Drosophila melanogaster: one gene and its partner. The protein of the gene in region 2 interacts with the protein of the main gene of each other region in a biochemical or structural test. Each region holds a gene or a part of one and is shown on either strand. Other genes may lie near its edges.

Region 1 (10,019 bases), on a different chromosome or scaffold from region 2:
ACCTTTACGGGATCCTTAAGGGAGGCACGCTGCAGTTTCTTTACTTTCTTGGTCATGGTCGCACTGAACAGAAAGGTTCGTCGTTCACGCGGCAATACCTTCAGAATCTTGTCCAGCTCCACCTCAAAATCCATGTTAAGAATGCGATCCGCCTCGTCCATGACCAAGTATTTAATAGCCTTAAGGTTAAAACCTTTCATGTTTTCTAGATGATCAACCAAGCGACCCGGTGTGGCAATTATAATATGCGGCTTCTTGGCCAGTTGAAGACCCTGGGCTACCATGTCCATGCCGCCGACTACCACGCAACACTTTATGCCAATCCCGCTACCTGAAAAAAACAGAGCTAGCATAAGTTTGGCAGAAGGAAATTCAAGAATACGATAAATGGGAAGGTTTTTTTACTCAGAGGTAGTGACGAATAAGAAAATTATAATTTCATATTTTCGTTGATACACAAAATCAAAACAGGTTTAACATCACTGCGAATTAAAAGCACATAAACTATGCGAAAACTCACCAAGGGCTTCAAACTGCTCGCCAATTTGAAATGCCAGTTCCCTCGTGGGGGTTAGCACGAGGGCAAAATACCGCTGCGGATTCTCGAGAAGGGCGTGTAAAATTGGCAGAGCGAAGGCGCCCGTCTTGCCGGAACCGGTCTCCGCTAGGCCAATTACATCCTTGCCCTGTAAGGCGACCGGAATGGCCTCACGTTGGATCTTCGAAGGCGCCTTCCACTTCAATTCGTCACATGCTTGACACAAAGCCTCATTGAGACCCTTTGAAGAAATATGGCCATTCGATTAAATTTTAATTTAAATTAATAGTGGGGCTCATACGAGATCTTTCCAGGTTAGCTTCTGTTCCTCGGCTGCGTCGTCCTCGGAGCCTTTATCATCTTCACCACTTAGTGCCGCCTCGCTGTCCCCTTCCTTATGATTGTTATCTTCATCTTCCTGCTCCTCCTCGCTACCTAGATCCTCCTCTTCGTCACTCGTTTGTAGCTGCGTCTGTTCGTCCTCTGAAGTTTCCGACATTTTGTTACATGAGTTTCAGAAAAATTTCACGGTACGGACATTACCAATAGCAGCACGTGGTCGAAATAAAAGAATTAGAGGCGGTAAAATAGAAATAGAACTATTTGCGATATTATCGATATAGTTGCGTCTTTAAAACAGTGCAGATTCATGATAACTTTCGATAGCTAATGTGCGATATATCACATGCACACTTAATAAAATTTGTAACTCATTCATACTGAACCATGATCTTAATTACAGGACTTAGTTATAGTGCAAATAGTTTGTTTCGGAAATATATTCACATTTGTATAAAATCGTAATTTGTTAGAAAATTGTTTAATATTGTGATTTTGTCATTTCAGTTAATATAACAATGTTTGAAAATAGATGGTGAATACAAATTTGGTATACATCTTTTTCCATCGCGCAATTTTAAATTAATGAAACGCCAATTAGAGGGTTGTCTGTCATGAACTGTCAACGAATAAAAACTGTTTGACATTTTCATACACAAATGTTATTGATGCTATTATTAACAATTCCGTTAAATCCGGAACAAAAGATTTCTGAATAATTGTCATTTTTAATTGTATAGAAATATTAAAGACAATAAAAGAAAAAAATAGTTGAAATAATTTAACTGACTTGTACTTAACATTTTCTTATAATTTTGGATATTCGAATTTTAATCTTCGATTTTGTTTATTGCGATCTGTTGATGTTTTGGTTAGGTATACATTTTCGTATTGTGTTAAATGCATCATACTGCCGACATAATTTTTATGAGGTTCACTGTAGAAGTAATATAATTAATATATTACTCATAGTCAGTAGTTGTTTCATTTATTTAAAAATCCGTTAGCGGCTAAAAACAAAAACGTTGCAGAATAGTCACATCCAACTTAAGGTCACCGTACTTTTCAACACTTGCTTGCTATAATCACAGAAACAAGCGACGGTCACCCTCCTTCGATTATTAGTCCGTACCTATCGGAGCCTATCGTTCGTCGATATAGGATCCTATCATATAAAATATTGATTAAAATTTACGCAAATACAAAATTTTCTTGTTCCGATGAAAAGTAAGCAACAAAATTACAGTTAAGAGGGATATATAAGAGAATAACGTGTGCGTTGGCGGGGACCATACCACATCATTACTTATCAGTTAATTCGTGGCTATGCGGTTGACAAGTGAAAACGCCTACTAAAGAGAAACTAAAACCTTCAGAAAGCGAGTAAAGGGGGCAATCTATCTTTACAACCTGTCCATTGAGATCGCTTAATATTTTTGGAAATGCTTTATAGGTAAACCATAAAAATCCATTGTGAAAATTTGTGGGGGTGGTGGATACTGAATAGGCGATAGACGTAGTAAAGAGAGCGGCGAAAAGAGTGCGGAGCGAAAGAGTTTGTATTTGATGTGTACTCAAAAGTAGCCGAAGAGAGCGCACTAATACACACGCATACGGAAAAAGGACGATAAAGAGGAAGAGCTTTCCGTGGAAACTAGGATAAAGTGTTTGCCCAAAATGAACTCGGCGGTGGATGCGTGGGCTGTGACCCCGAGGGAGCGTTTGAAGTACCAGGAACAGTTTAGGGCACTCCAGCCGCAGGCAGGATTCGTTACCGGCGCCCAGGCCAAAGGGTTCTTCCTGCAGTCCCAGCTGCCGCCCCTGATCCTGGGCCAAATATGGTATGTATATTACGCCCCCATGAATCATCCACCGATAAGAGTGTTAATTCTTACTCATTTTCTTATCTCCAGGGCTCTGGCGGACACTGATTCCGACGGCAAGATGAACATCAATGAGTTCAGCATAGCCTGCAAGCTTATCAACCTCAAGTTGCGCGGCATGGACGTTCCCAAGGTTCTTCCTCCCAGCCTGCTGTCGTCTCTTACCGGCGATGTCCCCTCGATGACGCCACGTGGCTCCACAAGCTCCTTGAGCCCTTTGGATCCACTCAAGGGAATAGTTCCGGCAGTAGCTCCAGTTGTTCCCGTTGTGGCTCCACCGGTGGCTGTGGCTACTGTCATTTCACCGCCTGGAGTCTCAGTGCCGTCTGGCCCCACACCCCCCACCAGCAATCCACCTAGTCGCCACACGTCTATCTCAGAGCGAGCGCCATCGATCGAGTCTGTGTAAGCATCACTTAGAATCGAATTAATGATTTAATATTATTAATGTAGCAAAGAAGAGATAATTTAATTAATTAAATTTCAAATATTCTTAGTTATTGAAATATTAGCAAAAACATATATATAATATCGTATCTGTTCTTAACTCCTCAATCAACTTCTATCCTTTTAGCAACCAAGGAGAATGGGCCGTTCAAGCTGCCCAAAAGCGTAAATACACGCAGGTGTTCAATGCTAATGATCGCACCCGATCTGGTTACTTAACTGGATCCCAGGCACGCGGCGTTCTCGTACAGAGCAAGTTACCCCAGGTCACGCTGGCCCAAATCTGGACGCTGTCCGACATCGACGGCGATGGACGGCTGAACTGCGACGAGTTTATTCTTGCCATGTTCCTATGCGAGAAGGCCATGGCTGGTGAGAAAATTCCGGTTACCTTGCCCCAGGAATGGGTACCGCCCAACTTGCGCAAAATAAAATCGCGACCGGGATCGGTCTCAGGGGTGGTATCCCGTCCTGGCTCACAGCCGGCCTCCCGACACGCATCTGTTTCATCCCAAAGCGGAGTGGGAGTCGTGGATGCTGACCCAACAGCCGGACTACCTGGACAAAGTAAGTGCTTAATTAACTCCGTTGCCAAACATGTGAATATATTCCATATATTAACACTTGTGATTTCGCGTTCACCAGCTTCCTTCGAAGACAAGCGAAAGGAGAATTATGTTAAGGGTCAAGCAGAGCTGGATCGTAGGCGCAAAATTATGGAGGACCAGCAGCGCAAGGAGCGGGAAGAGAGAGAGCGAAAGGAGCGTGAAGAGGCTGATAAGCGTGAAAAGGCTCGTTTGGAGGCCGAGCGTAAGCAGCAGGAGGAACTAGAGCGACAGCTCCAACGCCAGCGAGAGATTGAGATGGAGAAGGAGGAGCAGCGCAAGAGGGAACTGGAGGCTAAGGAGGCGGCCAGAAAGTAAGGACTTTTATCTTGCTTTGAGCGACAAAACAATGTATACAATTTCTATTGTATCAGGGAGCTTGAGAAGCAGCGCCAGCAGGAATGGGAGCAGGCTAGAATTGCCGAAATGAACGCACAGAAGGAGAGGGAACAAGAACGTGTTCTAAAGCAGAAGGCACACAACACCCAGCTTAATGTGGAGCTCAGCACACTGAATGAAAAAGTAATGTTCTTAAAGTACAACTAATCTATATGGCTGGCCTATCTAACTAACTCGGCTTAATTACAGATCAAGGAGCTTTCGCAGAGGATTTGCGACACTCGTGCCGGCGTGACAAACGTAAAGACCGTTATCGACGGAATGCGCACCCAGCGCGACACTTCCATGTCCGAAATGTCGCAGCTGAAAGCGCGGATTAAGGAACAGAACGCTAAACTGCTTCAGCTCACCCAAGAGAGGGCCAAGTGGGAGGCCAAGAGCAAGGCCAGCGGGGCTGCCTTGGGAGGGGAGAATGCGCAGCAGGAGCAACTGAATGCCGCATTCGCCCACAAGCAGGTGAGCTTTGGCATATACGTAAAGTTTTAGTATTCAACGGATTCTCTAAAATACTATTTACCTTTTTCAACAGTTAATTATTAACCAAATAAAGGATAAAGTCGAGAATATCAGTAAAGAGATTGAGTCAAAGAAGGAGGACATCAACACTAATGATGTACAGATGTCTGAGCTCAAGGCCGAGCTCTCCGCTCTAATCACAAAGTGCGAGGATCTGTACAAGGAATACGATGTGCAGCGCACCTCGGTGCTGGAATTGAAGTACAATCGAAAGAACGAAACTAGTGTATCGTCGGCCTGGGACACAGGCTCTTCCAGTGCTTGGGAGGAGACGGGTACGACTGTCACCGATCCCTACGCAGTTGCGAGCAATGATATCTCCGCACTGGCCGCTCCAGCTGTGGACTTAGGGGGACCGGCCCCAGAAGGATTCGTGAAATATCAAGCAGTATACGAGTTCAACGCACGCAACGCGGAGGAGATTACCTTTGTGCCTGGTGACATTATCCTGGTGCCATTGGAGCAGAACGCCGAGCCGGGATGGTTGGCTGGCGAAATAAATGGCCACACCGGCTGGTTCCCTGAATCCTATGTGGAGAAACTAGAAGTCGGTGAAGTTGCTCCTGTCGCCGCTGTCGAAGCCCCGGTTGATGCTCAAGTGGCCACCGTGGCTGACACCTACAATGACAATATCAATACCAGCTCGATTCCGGCAGCTTCCGCAGATCTGACTGCCGCCGGCGATGTCGAGTATTATATAGCCGCATATCCTTATGAGTCCGCCGAGGAAGGCGATTTGAGCTTCAGTGCCGGTGAGATGGTCATGGTCATCAAGAAGGAGGGTGAGTGGTGGACAGGTACCATTGGTAGCCGCACGGGCATGTTTCCTTCGAACTATGTCCAAAAGGCTGATGTGGGCACAGCGAGCACAGCCGCTGCCGAACCGGTAGAATCTCTTGATCAGGTAAGTGGATAGATAGTACATAATTAAGTAATGTGTGGGGCCATTTGCGTTTTAAATTGATTGGAACTAGAATCAAGAATTATAATATTATTATGTATACAAAATCGTGTACAATTTCATATTAAAAAAAAGTAAGCGACATTATTTATATAAGAGAGAAGTGAATTTAGTTCCCATATAAGAGAATATAAACGCTAAATATACAGGCCAACACTTTATCTTACTTGTAAAGAGTTTACAATCCCGAAGTCTAGAGTCGTGTCTAACCGTTGCCCTCACGTCCATCTACTAATCCAATGCTTTTCATGTGCTGTGCTTTTTGCTACCGTGTTACACTTGCACTGACCCAGGAGACGACGCTAAACGGCAACGCTGCCTACACCGCTGCTCCCGTGGAGGCACAGGAGCAGGTTTACCAGCCGCTGCCTGTTCAGGAGCCCAGCGAGCAGCCGATATCTAGCCCAGGCGTTGGCGCCGAGGAGGCGCACGAAGACCTCGACACTGAAGTTTCCCAGATAAATACACAGTCCAAAACACAGAGCAGCGAGCCTGCCGAGAGCTACAGCCGACCCATGTCACGCACCTCTTCCATGACACCCGTAAATAGTTGACACAGCCCGTTACCACTTCATTTATTGTTTCATTTAATGAACCAACATCTTTTTCGTCATCATTTTGCAGGGAATGCGTGCCAAGCGGTCTGAGATTGCTCAAGTAATCGCGCCCTATGAGGCAACCAGCACGGAACAGCTTTCGCTGACGAGAGGCCAATTAATAATGATCCGTAAAAAGACGGACTCCGGCTGGTGGGAGGGTGAGCTGCAGGCAAAGGGTCGACGGCGGCAGATCGGATGGTTCCCGGCCACTTACGTGAAGGTTCTCCAAGGCGGGCGCAACAGCGGACGGAATACTCCGGTTTCCGGTAGTCGAATCGAGATGACTGAACAGATCTTGGGTTGGTTTTTGAATATTCGTAGTATGATTTAAATAAATTATTTTATCTATATCGTTTTTCCCATGCAGACAAGGTCATTGCTCTCTATCCGTACAAAGCACAAAATGACGACGAGCTGTCGTTTGATAAGGACGATATCATTAGCGTTCTGGGTCGGGATGAGCCGGAGTGGTGGCGTGGCGAGCTGAATGGCCTTTCCGGTCTCTTCCCTAGCAACTATGTGGGGCCCTTCGTGACGTCCGGTAAGCCAGCAAAAGCAAATGGCACCACCAAGAAGTGAATCTCACATACCGATCCAGCTTAGCTCTCTAGTTACCACATTCCGTACACATATTGTTATGTTTACTATTATTTTCGAATTATCCATTATCGATTCCAATAAGTTCTCGCCTATTCTCGCTATTGAAACCCCCACTTTAGTGTTTATTTGTTGCAATATTTCCAAGATGTATCTAATTGTTAATTGTGATTATTTAGTTTTTAGATTTACTCCTAAGCTTATCACTAGCGACCTCTCTATTTTCGCTTAGCTAATTTCTAGTGTTATTTCATTTATGTATTTATTTAGTCGGCATAATTATATTTTGTATTTCACTTATTGTACATAAATTAAAAGAATTAAATCCAATTTCGATCTTAATTGCCAACAGGAAACGTATAACGAGCCTTCGGGTTTGGCCTCTAAGCGGCATCAGGCACTTGCATACAGAAAATCCGATAGATAATCTACATGATCCTTTGGGAGTTGGGTTAGCTTAAGATCAGCATCAGCAGCAGCATCAATATCCTCAGTAATTACCTAACGGGAATTCGTACAGTATTCTAGAAAGCCTATAAGTTGGCTAAATTCATTGTTGAACCTGAAAGTTTATGCATAATGTTTATCCTATTCGGTGTAAAATTCCCTTAACTTGATAGAATTAGGCAGATATCATGTGAAATCATTTATAGAATCAAACACTGCTCTCACGTTCGTAACAAATCAAACGAAAGATACAACCGAATTTTAGTAAGTCACATTTTAAAGGGTTTATATAATAATCTGCATATGGAAACTACAATATATATAAGGATATCAAATGACACTTGAAATTTTGTTAAATGTAGATGTGTTTATCGATCAAATCCAGAATATTCAGCAGTTTTTTCCCCAAATGCTACCACAAATACGCAAATAGTATCTATAACGATGGTTTTCTGTGTTTTCCAATAATATCCGAATGTAATTGTATATACTGAAAGTATTAAAACCAAAAGTGGGAGTATACATTATTGTTAACTAAATATTAAGCATGATGACCATTTACTTATATCTTTATAAAGACATCAAGTTTAATGAAAAAACGGGAAATATATTTGTAATGGCTAATTTCAGTTTAACTTAACAATAACGTACTTGATTTATTGACTAAGTTAAGCGCTTATCTGAACTGCCATAACTGTATTAATTTTACGTGTATTGTCTCATTGATAATGTTACATTTGTTTGCATGTAAAAACTAAGTATGTACAAAATCCACACATAGTTCTTTCCACCCGATTGGATTGATAGTCGGATATTATAGAGGGCCACGTTATACTGTTCGAATCATTCTATGCTAGTTACATTTAGTCTATTTAACAAATCACACTACACATGTATCTACGCTATCTCGTACATATGAAGAAACACTGTCGAATGCCTTTCAAATTGATAACCAAACAGTCACTTTAAACGGACTAACTTAATCGTAACTTGTTATTGCATACCACGACTACATATGCGTCTATAACTATATTAAATGAAACCAAAGTAAAGAATCGTTATGAGCCCCACATGGCTGCGATCAGTTGGTGCTGTAATCCCAACTGATCAGCTGGGTGGGTAAGTTCTAAAAGCATTAACACATATTTATGTAGCAAATGTTGGGTTGTTTAATTCCACATATAAATGTACTAATAACTTTGAACGAACCACAAAAGAAGCATAGCATATACCTAATATATACAGAAAATACTACAATTTCTTTAGAAAACGCAAAGCAAATATGTTAATTGAGATATTCGTACATTCCGCGTCCCGCATATACACTCCTGCATACATATAATGCGTACTCATATAAGCGTACTTGTTTAATCGTTACAAAAGTTTGTTATTGTAAACAATGCTTAAGCGTAATTACTGACGAGGCGCAAAATACCGATCAAATGCATTAGCACACCTACACTAAAAAATCACTTTAAACGCGAAATGAAGACCATCGATATATTTACCTATATACAAGCTGAGGTGAGAGGTGAGCAGAACTTGCAGAACTCTTCTGCAGACGTGCAATGCATTCGAGTAAATATAAAGTGAATTCTTCTAGAAAAACAAAACAAAAAACTACTATAAAACATATTGAAATATATTAGTTTCAAAGATAGACAAAAACAAAAAGAGAAGAGCAAAAATATTAAATTAAATTATGAAAATAACAAATTACACATATTTGGTGCAATAAATGTATAAAAGAAAATCAAACAAAATGTTTACGTTTCTCTTTCCGTTACTCGTAGATTCGCTAAGGAGTGTGTAGCAGGTAGTTCTGTACATTTAGTATATCTATGATATCTATGATCTCTTGCAGTGGCCACTTGTTATGTCCGAAACATGGGTACACTCGGCTATTGCGAACTTTATGGGCTGCACACCTGACGAATGCATTTAAAAGAGTATTCATAATAGTTATGCCTCTACACCCGCAGAGATCAAGCCAGATCCAGGTGCCTGTTCTAGAAGATCCAAGGGAATCCAGCGGTTATGGCAACAGTGGCGCGGATGCGATATCGACCAGGCTGCACAGCACGGAGATGCATCCAACAATAAGCTGCGAGGCATTATTCAGGCCGTGCACATAACCAAGCGGCGGGATGGCCAACTAATGGGATGTGCCTATGTCCGGTTTGAGTGCAATGAGCTGTTGGCCAAGTCCATGCTTCAGGAAAATGGGAATCAATTGGTTGGCAAAGCAGTGGTGGTCGACTGGCAGCCAGAATTGCCGAAAAAACGATTTCGTCAGTGGCGTTGCTGGTGAAAGAACACCCATACAAACCCGCCCATACAAATACAACATACTTAGTTGCTAATTGCAAGTGTGGGTTAAGATTGTTTTGCTTTCCTCAATAATTTTATTTTTAGTAAAATTTTTTCTTATAAATTATTTAAAATCAGTTTAACAATTTACAATTTTTTGTTTAGGTTTTGCACCGTGTGTTTTTATTAAATTTTTGTTAATCTTGCGCTATCAATATTTATTTTTAGTTTTGAAGTATGCACAACTTAGGGCCTACGGTATGAAAATTGCAAACACGTTCTCGATTTAGTCAGTAATTGAATTCAATATTAGTTTTCTTAAGCAAGTAATTTATGAGCGAGCGTCCACAATAAAAATTGTTTTCACCACAATCAATG
Region 2 (9,923 bases):
GTCAATAGACATTTTAGTTTGTTCACTGTCCGATGGTCTTAGTCGTTTAGTAATCGGGAAGTTAGTATTTTTATATGTAGAGGGTTGTTGTAGTCGAGGGTATGTATTTCCTCTAAAATGCGTTGTTTGGGGAAATTGGGCTTTGTTGGGATATTGTTGGAAATGATTTTTTTGAATAATGGGTTGTGGGTTTATGTATTGGTTGGGTCTGAAATAATTAGGTGCGTGCCACATGGGTGGGTTGTTAGTTATCTGCTGTGTATAGCTAGGTCTAAATGGTTGAATGTATTGATTAAAATTAGGTTGGAAGGGTTGGGAATATTGTGAGTAACTTGGTCGATTTTGAGTTTGAACATTTGTATTGAATTTTTGTGTTTTCGAATTCCGGTTAGAATTTGAATTTTTATTACGATATTCTGGTTTTTCATAAAATTCAAAATTAATGTGTTCTTCATAAATTCCCTCATTTTGTGCAATGGTAATTAAGGATCTTAAGTCTGTAATATCGTGATGGGCTAAAATAGTGAATAATTGTATTGGTAGTTTCCTTATCAGTATCTTAATAGATTCTTTAATACCCTGAATATAAATAAGAAAATCCGATTGGTTACCTTCCAGGTGTAGTTTCGAAATTAGTAATTGACGTCGTCTCTCCGCTTCTTCGCAGAATGCTCTTAGGCTTCCTCTGTATGGTGTCTCCCTGAAGTTCTCCAGAAGTTTGTAGTTTGGTGTTTGAATTTTAAATTCCGCGATGAGTCTTGCTTTAAGGGTAGGCCAATCTTCGATGTTCGGAAGTCCCAAAGATCGTGTAATTTGTCCGTCCAAGTTCCTTTCGATGGCTCCCAGTAGAATCCTCTGTTGTCGGACATCATTTGTTTGGTAGAGCGAAATTACGTAATCCACTCTGCTGATAAAGGTGTGAAGGGTTTCTGGATCACCTTTGAATGGCATAATGTCTTTAAGCTGCCGACGGGCTTCGGCAAGGTTTATGTCGCTCAGCGCAATAATTGGTTGTGACATTTTTATTGTAAAATTTTTAACTTTTGTGTTTTATTTTTTTGTTTTGTTTCGGATTCAATGTTATTATTATTTTTAAGCTTTCTAGTTTCACTTGTTTGTTTTTTTTGTTTTGTAAATTTTTGTGTTGTATTATTAAAATTCTATATTGTTTTAATTTTTTATTTTTATATGTTGGTTTTAAAACTTAGTTGCCTTTGGACTTAATATTTTTGTTTCGTATTTCACTTCCACTTATTATTGGATAACCGAATTGGAATTATAATCCAAGTTGAAGAGTTTTCACGAATTTATTTTGGGAGATGTTTCGAGCACTGGACTATAAAATTTAACTTATTTTCCACTCGAAGGTTCTTTTTTTCGGATACTTTTGTATCCTACCGACTGCGCCAGTAAAATTGTTGTTTTATTTATGAGTCGAACTAATGTCCCGTCAGTTGACTAAGGACAACGCCAAGAAATAAAAAATAGTTTTTAGGAGAAATAGTTTCACGACTTTATTCTTTGGATCTCAGCTTAAGACTAAAAATCAAATGCAAATTGGATTGAGGAGAAGCCTCAGTATTTGAACAATATTTGTATTTCGGGAGAGCCTCGCTCTTGGGTTCTTAAGATTAGGTAGCGTTGAAAGAGGGCAGTCAAATCTGCTTAGGTCAGGCTTTAGGATGTTTACAAGAACGGCTGCGCTGCCAAAGATAAACGAATGCTGCGCAGCTGGGATACGTTATGGAAAATTACTAGAGTGCATTACTGATTTCTTTGAAATAATGGAAGTGGCTGGTTTGGACCACCCAAATACGTCACTATATACATATATATGGTATATGGTATATGGTATACACTGGTATGGATATATATATATACCAGTGTAATTTGTTTCAGTGTCTTGGATAACTCACCCGAGTGCCACTGCGATAGGCGGCCATGGTGACAACTGGTCCGGTGTCCGCGCTGGAGACCACCGTAATGTCCTGCAGTGGACAAACAGTAATTATCCCGATTACCGGATGAGAAATGGTATGGTACTTGCCCTAAACTCGGCCTGCTCCACTCGGATGTCGAAGTCGCCGTGCAAGCGCCTGCCCCGGAAGTATTTGGACCAGTCCGTGTTCTGGTCATCCAAAACCAGCAGCGTGAAGTACTTGTCCTTGCTGAATGCCGGTGCCCGTTGTGTGGCGCTCTGAACCGCAGCTCCTGTTTTGGGTTAGATGTCATTCCATGCTCAGAGACCAATAAACAGTCCCTACACTCAGAAAAATCTCATAGATTGCAACATTTGGTAAGACACAACCATTAAAGTTATTTAAGACGGTTTACTTCGGGATTTTGAGTCTGTTTCTCATTGACTACTTAAACAATTAATAGAACGTAAAATATTTAATATTTTATAAGTTCACATTAAAGATGAAGTCACCCATGAATTGTTAATAGAGTAATAGAATAGTTATTTAAAAAGTTTACAAAGGAATTGAAATTGTATATCTTGTTCTACAGTAAAGGAGTTGTTGTAAGTGATCACCCATAGCATCTATAAATACCAAGGATAATAACGGTTACTATATTTAAACTAAAAGCAATCAACAGGTAAATAGAAGGACAACAATTACAGTAACATAATGGTATGGATTGACAGAGACGCATTGCTTATAAAGTGGATTGTTTACTATATATACCAAGACTTGATGATGCCGTCTCTACATGTTATGTGACTGATTGACTGCCATATTTTTCTGAGTGTAGGTGCCTGCCAATGCCAAAGCATACCCAAAATGGAGGCTCCCTGATCCCGGGCAGCGCCGGTCAAGCTCTGCACCCGCTGCAGCAGGCTTTCGCGCGACTTGGCCGGACTGGTCGGCGCACTGACACCACGTGGTGGAGCAGGTGCGGCCGTCGCCGGGGTTTTGCCGGCGCCAAAGCTCAACGACAGCTCCGGAGCAGCTCCGGCCGGTTGGCCGGGAGCCGGCGGTGGCGGCATATTCGGCGGTCCGCCGGCAACCGGCGGCTTCGTCGGCTGATCTTGGATGGGCCGCGCCGCCGGCGGCAGGCTATTCGGATCGACATCGTCTACCTCGGAAGACAAGTCTCCCGAGCTGAATCTGTTAGTAGTTTTCGTGTGGGTGGGTTGTGGTTGTGGTAGGTGGTGTTCGAGTAATCGAGTGTTTTTGATTGATTCGGTTGTTTTTCAACCGCCAGACAAGTAGACAGATTAAATGGTGCGGCGCAATTGAGTGAAAAAAGGATGAGATAATCAAATGGGGTGGTAGACAAATACCGCCCGAGAAGAAAAGATAGAGAAATAGACGAACATATGAAATTTCAAATTAGTTTCGTTCAACTGGGCCCCCTTCTGCCAAAGGGGGCACTTCCTTTTTTAAGGTCTTTACCTTCTCTTCAGGAAATTAACATTGGAAGTGAAGCTCGATTTGAACGACGAGAAATTCAGGGTGCTGCTTTTTGGCTCCTTTGATCCGCGGCACGCGAAAATACATAAAAAAAAAACACATACAAAGTATAGTTGATTTGCTAATTAATTAGCTAGAGTGCTTTCAATTTGGGCATTCATTTAATGATTTCTGATATTTATTGTGCATAGACATTGAACATTAAGGCATACAGTAATTTAAAGCGTCTCACAAACATAAAATAAGTCACTTAGTTCATATGTTTGTCCCTTTATTTAACTTTATTGCAAGAAGTTAATGAGATTTTGTGGCCAAGCTAAGCCAACGTTCTCACTTGGATCCTAATTGTTTTGAAAACTTTCTCTAATTCAGTTACGCCAATGTGGCGTATGCGTAATGTGGTCACTTCGAATGTGCATTTTCGCAGTGAAAGATGGTAAAAATCGTAAAAAACATTACATAGTCATAATGTAATGTAGTGAAGTGAGGGGAAAACTCATTTCAAATTTCATATGTCAACTGGTTTAAAGATTAGTATATTTATATAAAACAAACTCCAATGGTTTCATTTGATTTCACTTACTGTCGGAATAATGGGTTTAGTACGCCATGAAATCACAAAAGTTGCATTTGCCTTTAGGAAAATGTCGTGAATGTGTGGTTTAAAAGGATATGCATATTGTTTTAGCGGACAGAGAGAGAGATAGATAGAGACGGAGTTGGTCTAAGTGAAAACTAAAGTTCTATTAAAATGGCAATTAAGGTGTCTCAAACTTAATTTTAATTAAAATAAGCACCACGAACAGAACATTAAAACGAACGGCGTGTGGGCATGAGTATAAAGTCGAGCTAACGGCAACAGGTGCACAAGCCAAGGACATTTAAGGACAATGGCCAGTGTGTTGAAATTGCATAGCCATTATATTTCCAAGGATCTTTTGTGTGGCGCATAACGTTAGAAATCAATCGGTGGTGAAGTTTAGCGTTTGGGGGGCTCTTTTGGACCAAGTCAACAATGTCAAACACTTGTGGCCAAAACGGCGCTGTGCGTTTTGTATTTATTATCGTGGCCCGCAGGCCTACAGCCACTTGAAACTTTTCAGCCCCTACATAATAATAATGTTGGTCTCAGGCACACACCAGCACACCGACCCCCTGTGGGTAAATTTGCGTGTTTGTGTGCGAAAAGGTTCAAGTGGGCAGCTTGGTGGAAAAACAAAAAAGATTGAAGCTGAAAAAACTGAAAAGCAATTTGCTGATGAAAGCGTAGCAAGGCTATAGATATGTGAGTGTGTTTTGCCATATGATTCGAGTGATATCTTTGGGTGCCATATAGAAAAGCCAAAGTGAAATGAGTGGGTTCTGAAAGCGCGAACGAATCTTGGAACAGTCTTACCGGTGGCGGGGCGCAGATTCGCCCACACCCAGCAGTTGCGATGGCGCTAATATTGACAGTGGTCGACAATTAAGTCGAGCAGTTGGCCTCCGTTTTCGCAGGGGTTCGCTTCGTTACTACGACGAATCTCAGGCTATCCGGTCGCTATTTTAATCTGTAAGTAGGGAATTAATCTTTTAAATTAAATGGAAGGACAATTAATCTTTTAATTTTTTCTGATATTTTTTCTTTTTTTCTATTAATTATTAAATATATTGAGAATTATATTAAGCAGAGGAAGATTCCAACAAAGCTTAAATTCTATAAAGCTTAATGTTTTTAATTAAATGAGTGACACCTAAAGCAACCTAGGTTCAATTATGTGCCCCGCATAATGAACTTCTGGTAAATGACAAAAATTTATAAAAATGTAGTCTTAACTTTCTCTTATTAAATGAAACCCACTGCATCCTTAAGTTTATCACTGCCACACATATTCCCCCGACGAACTTCATCGAAACCCTTTTATTTAGCTGGCTTCGGTCCGGTAACTTATCGCCAAAAGTTGAAGGAAATACGGAAAAATAAAAGAAAAGGGAAAACACAAAGAGCAAATCAACTCGAACAGCTATCAGGCAGAGGATGTCCAGGCAATGGGACGACTGGATGGATGGATGGATGGCGGAATGAATGAACGGACGAGCGACTGGTTAACATCCCCAGGGACGACTGACTGTCGCTTTTGTTGCTCTCTTTTTTTTTTTGCCGTCGACTGCCAAGCAAAACATTGTTTTTGGTTCATTGCACTGGCAGTGGCCTCTATGTAGGACATAGTATACAAACACCACTGAACGCTCACTGAAAAACTCGAAAACACACATCCCTAGGCAATACGAAAAAAATGTGAAAGATTTGCGGCCGAATAACCAAATGTTATGTGTAAATAACACCTAAACAAATCAGCAGGCCAAGCCTTTTGCCTCTGCGGTCCCAGCTAAGTGCGGGAAAATTGCGTTAATGTGTCCCAAAGGTCGCAAGCAAAGTGCTGATTCACTTATCATAACTAAAATATTCAAGGCGGTTGTGCAACTTTTCGTAGCCTACTTTTTAGGGTTAAACAATTGAGGATGTCCTTGCTGGTCCAATGAGATGCACATACATTGTTGAAGTTCATTACAAAGTCAAGACTTTCCAATTTTTCCGATAATAAAATCCCGACTCCTCCTTATCCATTCATGACATAAGCTCTAATAATGAGTTGCTGTGGCTAAGAAGATTACGTATACGCAGGGACGCCGTTCTGTCTGTGACTTACTTTTTGGCCCCCACACACAGCTGAGCTGGGATTCTCTGATTTTCGACCAGAAGCTGTGCGATAGCTGCACTTTCCAACACGGACAGTTTTGACATTTGGCATTTTCTTTAGCGTGTTCCCAAATGTCAAAGTTCAGCACACGTCAGAAACGGACTAACTCGCAGGCTGGGTGACTAAGTAGAGCTTATACAAATCGATTTCATTATTGATGGCCCCGATTGTTTGTTTGCTCTGTTTATTTTGCCTATCAAAACAGTAATAACTGAGCGGTTTTTCGATAAACTTATTTGGCCAACTTTAAGTCTTATTTAATTATCCAGCCAGCAGATTGGTCCTCGTTATTTGCCCAAATTAAGTTGGTCAGGCTCCTTAACTTCCTGGTATTTCTTGCATAATTCATAACCGTCTAGCATCGATATACATGTGTTGCCATTCGGCTGATTGCCAGTACAGCTCGTTTGCGGGATATTTTCATCCGCCGTGTTGTCTGAACGAGCACACATCCCTCTACTTTTGGCTGCCTGGCTGTACGTGTGTGTGAAAACTTTTTGAATTAATAATCACAGTAACGTGTTGAGGGTCTCGGCTGTTGGGTTGCCCTTTCCGGAGGCTTTGGAACTTCTCTGGACTGTTTTTGCCCGCAACTTTTTGGTACCCAGCACAAATCTGTGCTGGAAAAACTTTATGGCCCGGCTTAACCCCCCGATCTTGTGGGTGGCTTGGGCTATTTTCCCGGTAAGAGCGAAGTTGCAACACAATCCATCAACGTCAGTGGCAAATTAAAGTTTCCTTTTATGGCAGCTTAAGCAGTTGCATTTTCTGTCAACCGTTTTATATAAACTGCAATGCGAGAACGAGTTGCGGAATGGGTAAATGCAGGACTCTACATCCGGAGCTGCAGCACCTGCAGCACCTGCAGCCACATTTAACCCATTTTCCAGTGGCTTTTCCCTTACGAGAATGCTTTGTGTTGATATGTGCGTTGGCTTGTCATAAAACAGGGCGTAATGTCTTTTCGATGGTAATTAAAACTGCCAAGCATTTCAGAGTAAATTGTACCGTTGGCTCACGCAAATTGTGGCAGCTATTTCCGTCTGGGGTCAAAGACTTTTATGGCTTTTAGTTAAGCTATAAAGATTTTGCCACTTTAGAACTCAAGAAATAAAATTGGGCTTGTGCGTATAAATTTAAGCTTATTGGATATATCAGAAAGCATTTTCTGATGTTCTTTAACTAAGATAATTCGTTTTAAAAATAGTTTCAGTTACCCAGAACCAATAGCTAAGATCAAAAACAAGTTGAATCTAAAGCGAAATATAAAGAATTATCTCTCCAAGCGACCAGTGGTAAATAGTTTTAGAGACCAAGGTTTTTAATTAATTTTTCCCAAGCAATTAGCAGTATCAAAACCGCCACTCAGGACTATTTGCTCGGCTCCCGCTGGCAGTGGGTTTGTGGGTTATCAGGTTGCCACCGCCCGCTTTGGATCCCCTTTTTTTTCCGACTTCCCCTCCACCTCTCCCCTTTTGAGGACTCTTTAATCGCCAGCTAAGTCGCGCTCTTTGTTTTACTTGTAATTCAATAAAGCGATGGTGCCTCTCTAACCTCGGGGTCTCAGTTTTGTTGTTACGGCGTCTGTCTACGCTTATCACGTACACACACAGACACAAACCCACACACACTCGCACACACACAAAATACACACAGACACTTGCACTCACACTGGGGGCAAACAACGCTGACTAGCTGATACAGAAATTTCTTATATATTTTTTTTTCCACTTTAGCCGTGTTTCGATTTTTGGGTAATTGCGTTTTTCTTTACCGAAAAGAGCTAAAAATTCACTTGAATATTCCTGCTCGAGCTCACAAATTTCCACTCGAATGGCCGATGAACGTTAAGCGATGACTTTTAATGATCAAAAGTGAACAAAAAATGTAGTTTAGATAATTTTGAGATTTGGCTGGGCGAATTTTGTGGAGCTAGAGAATTTTGGCTGAACTGTCAACGACGGTGATGAAATTTTCACTGAGCGAGTGGGCTTTTCATCCAAGAGTTTCCCACCAAAAGAAATGTGCGAATGTAAAGGCATGTAAGTACTCAAAGAGAGGGAGAGATATTGGAGAGAGTTTTGAAAAGAGAGTCAGTGCAATGTGCATTTTATAGTAAAATATATACTTAATAATCCACTACTGGTTGTTTTATAGACAGGCAGGATGAGTAATTAAAATATGATTCAATATTTTCCAGGCTTTTATTAATAACTTCCTAAAATTGCTTGAAATACACCGTTATTTTTATATATTTTACCAACACTGGTTACTCTCTTTTACGAAGACCACCCCATTGGAAGTTAGTGCGCATGCGTGAGTAAGAGAAACCTGCGGGCATATCGATTCATTGAAGTCTGCGTTACGCTACGAGTTCCATCAACCACCACTATATAATACACTATTCAAAACCAACCATGCAAGCCAAATTTTCTTAAAATTTGGTGTAAGCAACAGATCTAGTACTTGCAAATATAATGCAACACTTTTGAATTATTATTCATTTTTTTCAAAAAATAGTTTCTGAAAAAACATAATTATAATGTTTTTAAATTATTAAACAAGAAACATTTTATATGTTTGTAAAAAACATTTTCCTAATGGTTGGATATTATACTTTAAAATAGATATTGACAATAACAAGGAAATGGCTTTGTTAAAAATTTCTCATTTGTTGGAATATTTTTAATAGGAGTTAAACTTTTTTTTAGTGATCTTACACCTAGAGTTACTGACGCACATTGTAATATTTTTATCAGCAAGCATGGCGAATTGATAAAAATAGAGAGCAACTGGGCCAAGACGAAGGGAGCTGTTGCTTGGGCGCCAAAGCCATGGCTTAAATTCTTTTTCCAGCGATATGGTAACGCCTCCGATGGCCAGAATGAGTAGGCAAAGTAATAATGGCCAAAACAAACGAAGATGTGTCCAAAAAGAGCAGCACAAAGAGAGCGAGAGAAAGAGAGAGTTAAAACAAGAAGAAACAAAATAAAGCAGCCAAGCCGAAACAGCAAAGCTTGGCTTAGAGCAATTTCCGTCTCTGCGATTCAGTTGCCAACAATCTCTCGAACTGTTAACGTGTCAAGCGGAAAGTTCCCGACTAAATCTATTTAACAATTGTAGTGCTTTAACGCGTTTCAAAAGTAATAATCATTAGTGCGGAGTGCAGGTAGCTGAGTAATAGCAAATAAAAACAACTTTTTCGAATAAATAAACACATTTTACAAACGACCCCAACAACAATAAGTAAACAATGAGCTGTTGCATAAAACTTGTTTTCACGTGTTGCTCACACGTCGCTCTGTTGAAAAGAGCAGCAAAATGTATAAACTTTAAAGTGAACAAAAACGAAAAACCAAATGAAGTTTAATGATGGAAAACTACTGCTGATTATAGCCAACTTCATGCAAAATAGGTTTAGTTAGTTGAGTGTCTAGCTAACATTTAAATTATGGTATTAAATTGTCTGGAATATGCGCGAATTTGCGAGTTAGTTGAGTTATTCTCGTTTCTCTTCAAGATGCGCTCTTAGCCCAAAACTTTTCTCTCTTAACTGCAGCATCAGATACGAGTTAAGTTTTTTTCATTAACTAATAAAAATGACTAACTTTTTTGCTAAAAGCCTTAGGTTGACTTGAATGGTGCATATTACTGCCCAGCTGCATGAAAATGCTTTAATTATAAAGTTGTTTGATAATGTTAGTTCAGAATTGCGTGTGTAGGTGTGTCAGGCATTTCCGCTTGAGTTTGCTCTTAGAAAAGC

The links.
Region 1: the proteins of Syn (region 2) and Dap160 interact in far-western blotting, tested with the Drosophila melanogaster proteins (one study listed by BioGRID).

Annotation. Positions count from the first base shown.
Region 1 is NT_033779.5:21,134,324-21,144,342, reverse strand, and holds Dap160 (dynamin associated protein 160), read left to right. Parts: upstream 1-1,995; 5' UTR 1,996-2,104; intron 2,105-2,330; 5' UTR 2,331-2,554; coding exon 2,555-2,718; intron 2,719-2,790; coding exon 2,791-3,165; intron 3,166-3,334; coding exon 3,335-3,774; intron 3,775-3,852; coding exon of another isoform or gene 3,853-3,864; coding exon 3,865-4,126; intron 4,127-4,186; coding exon 4,187-4,334; intron 4,335-4,400; coding exon 4,401-4,667; intron 4,668-4,740; coding exon 4,741-5,631; intron 5,632-5,981; coding exon 5,982-6,230; intron 6,231-6,312; coding exon 6,313-6,586; intron 6,587-6,654; coding exon 6,655-6,828; coding exon of another isoform or gene 6,829-6,866; exon of another isoform or gene 6,867-7,212; intron 7,213-7,236; coding exon of another isoform or gene 7,237-7,247; exon of another isoform or gene 7,248-9,067; intron 9,068-9,313; coding exon 9,314-9,642; 3' UTR 9,643-9,904; downstream 9,905-10,019. Other genes in the region: pths (porthos), read right to left, coding at 1-331, 521-779, 840-1,037.
Region 2 is NT_033777.3:10,188,906-10,198,828, reverse strand, and holds the start of Syn (synapsin), read right to left. Parts: upstream 8,141-9,923; 5' UTR 7,935-8,140; intron 4,970-7,934; 5' UTR 4,816-4,969; intron 3,479-4,815; 5' UTR 3,461-3,478; coding exon 3,402-3,460; intron 3,114-3,401; coding exon 2,782-3,113; intron 2,212-2,781; coding exon 2,048-2,211; intron 1,989-2,047; coding exon 1,917-1,988; intron 1-1,916. UniProt on the Drosophila melanogaster protein: Plays a significant role in nervous system function, which is subtle at the cellular level but manifests itself in complex behavior.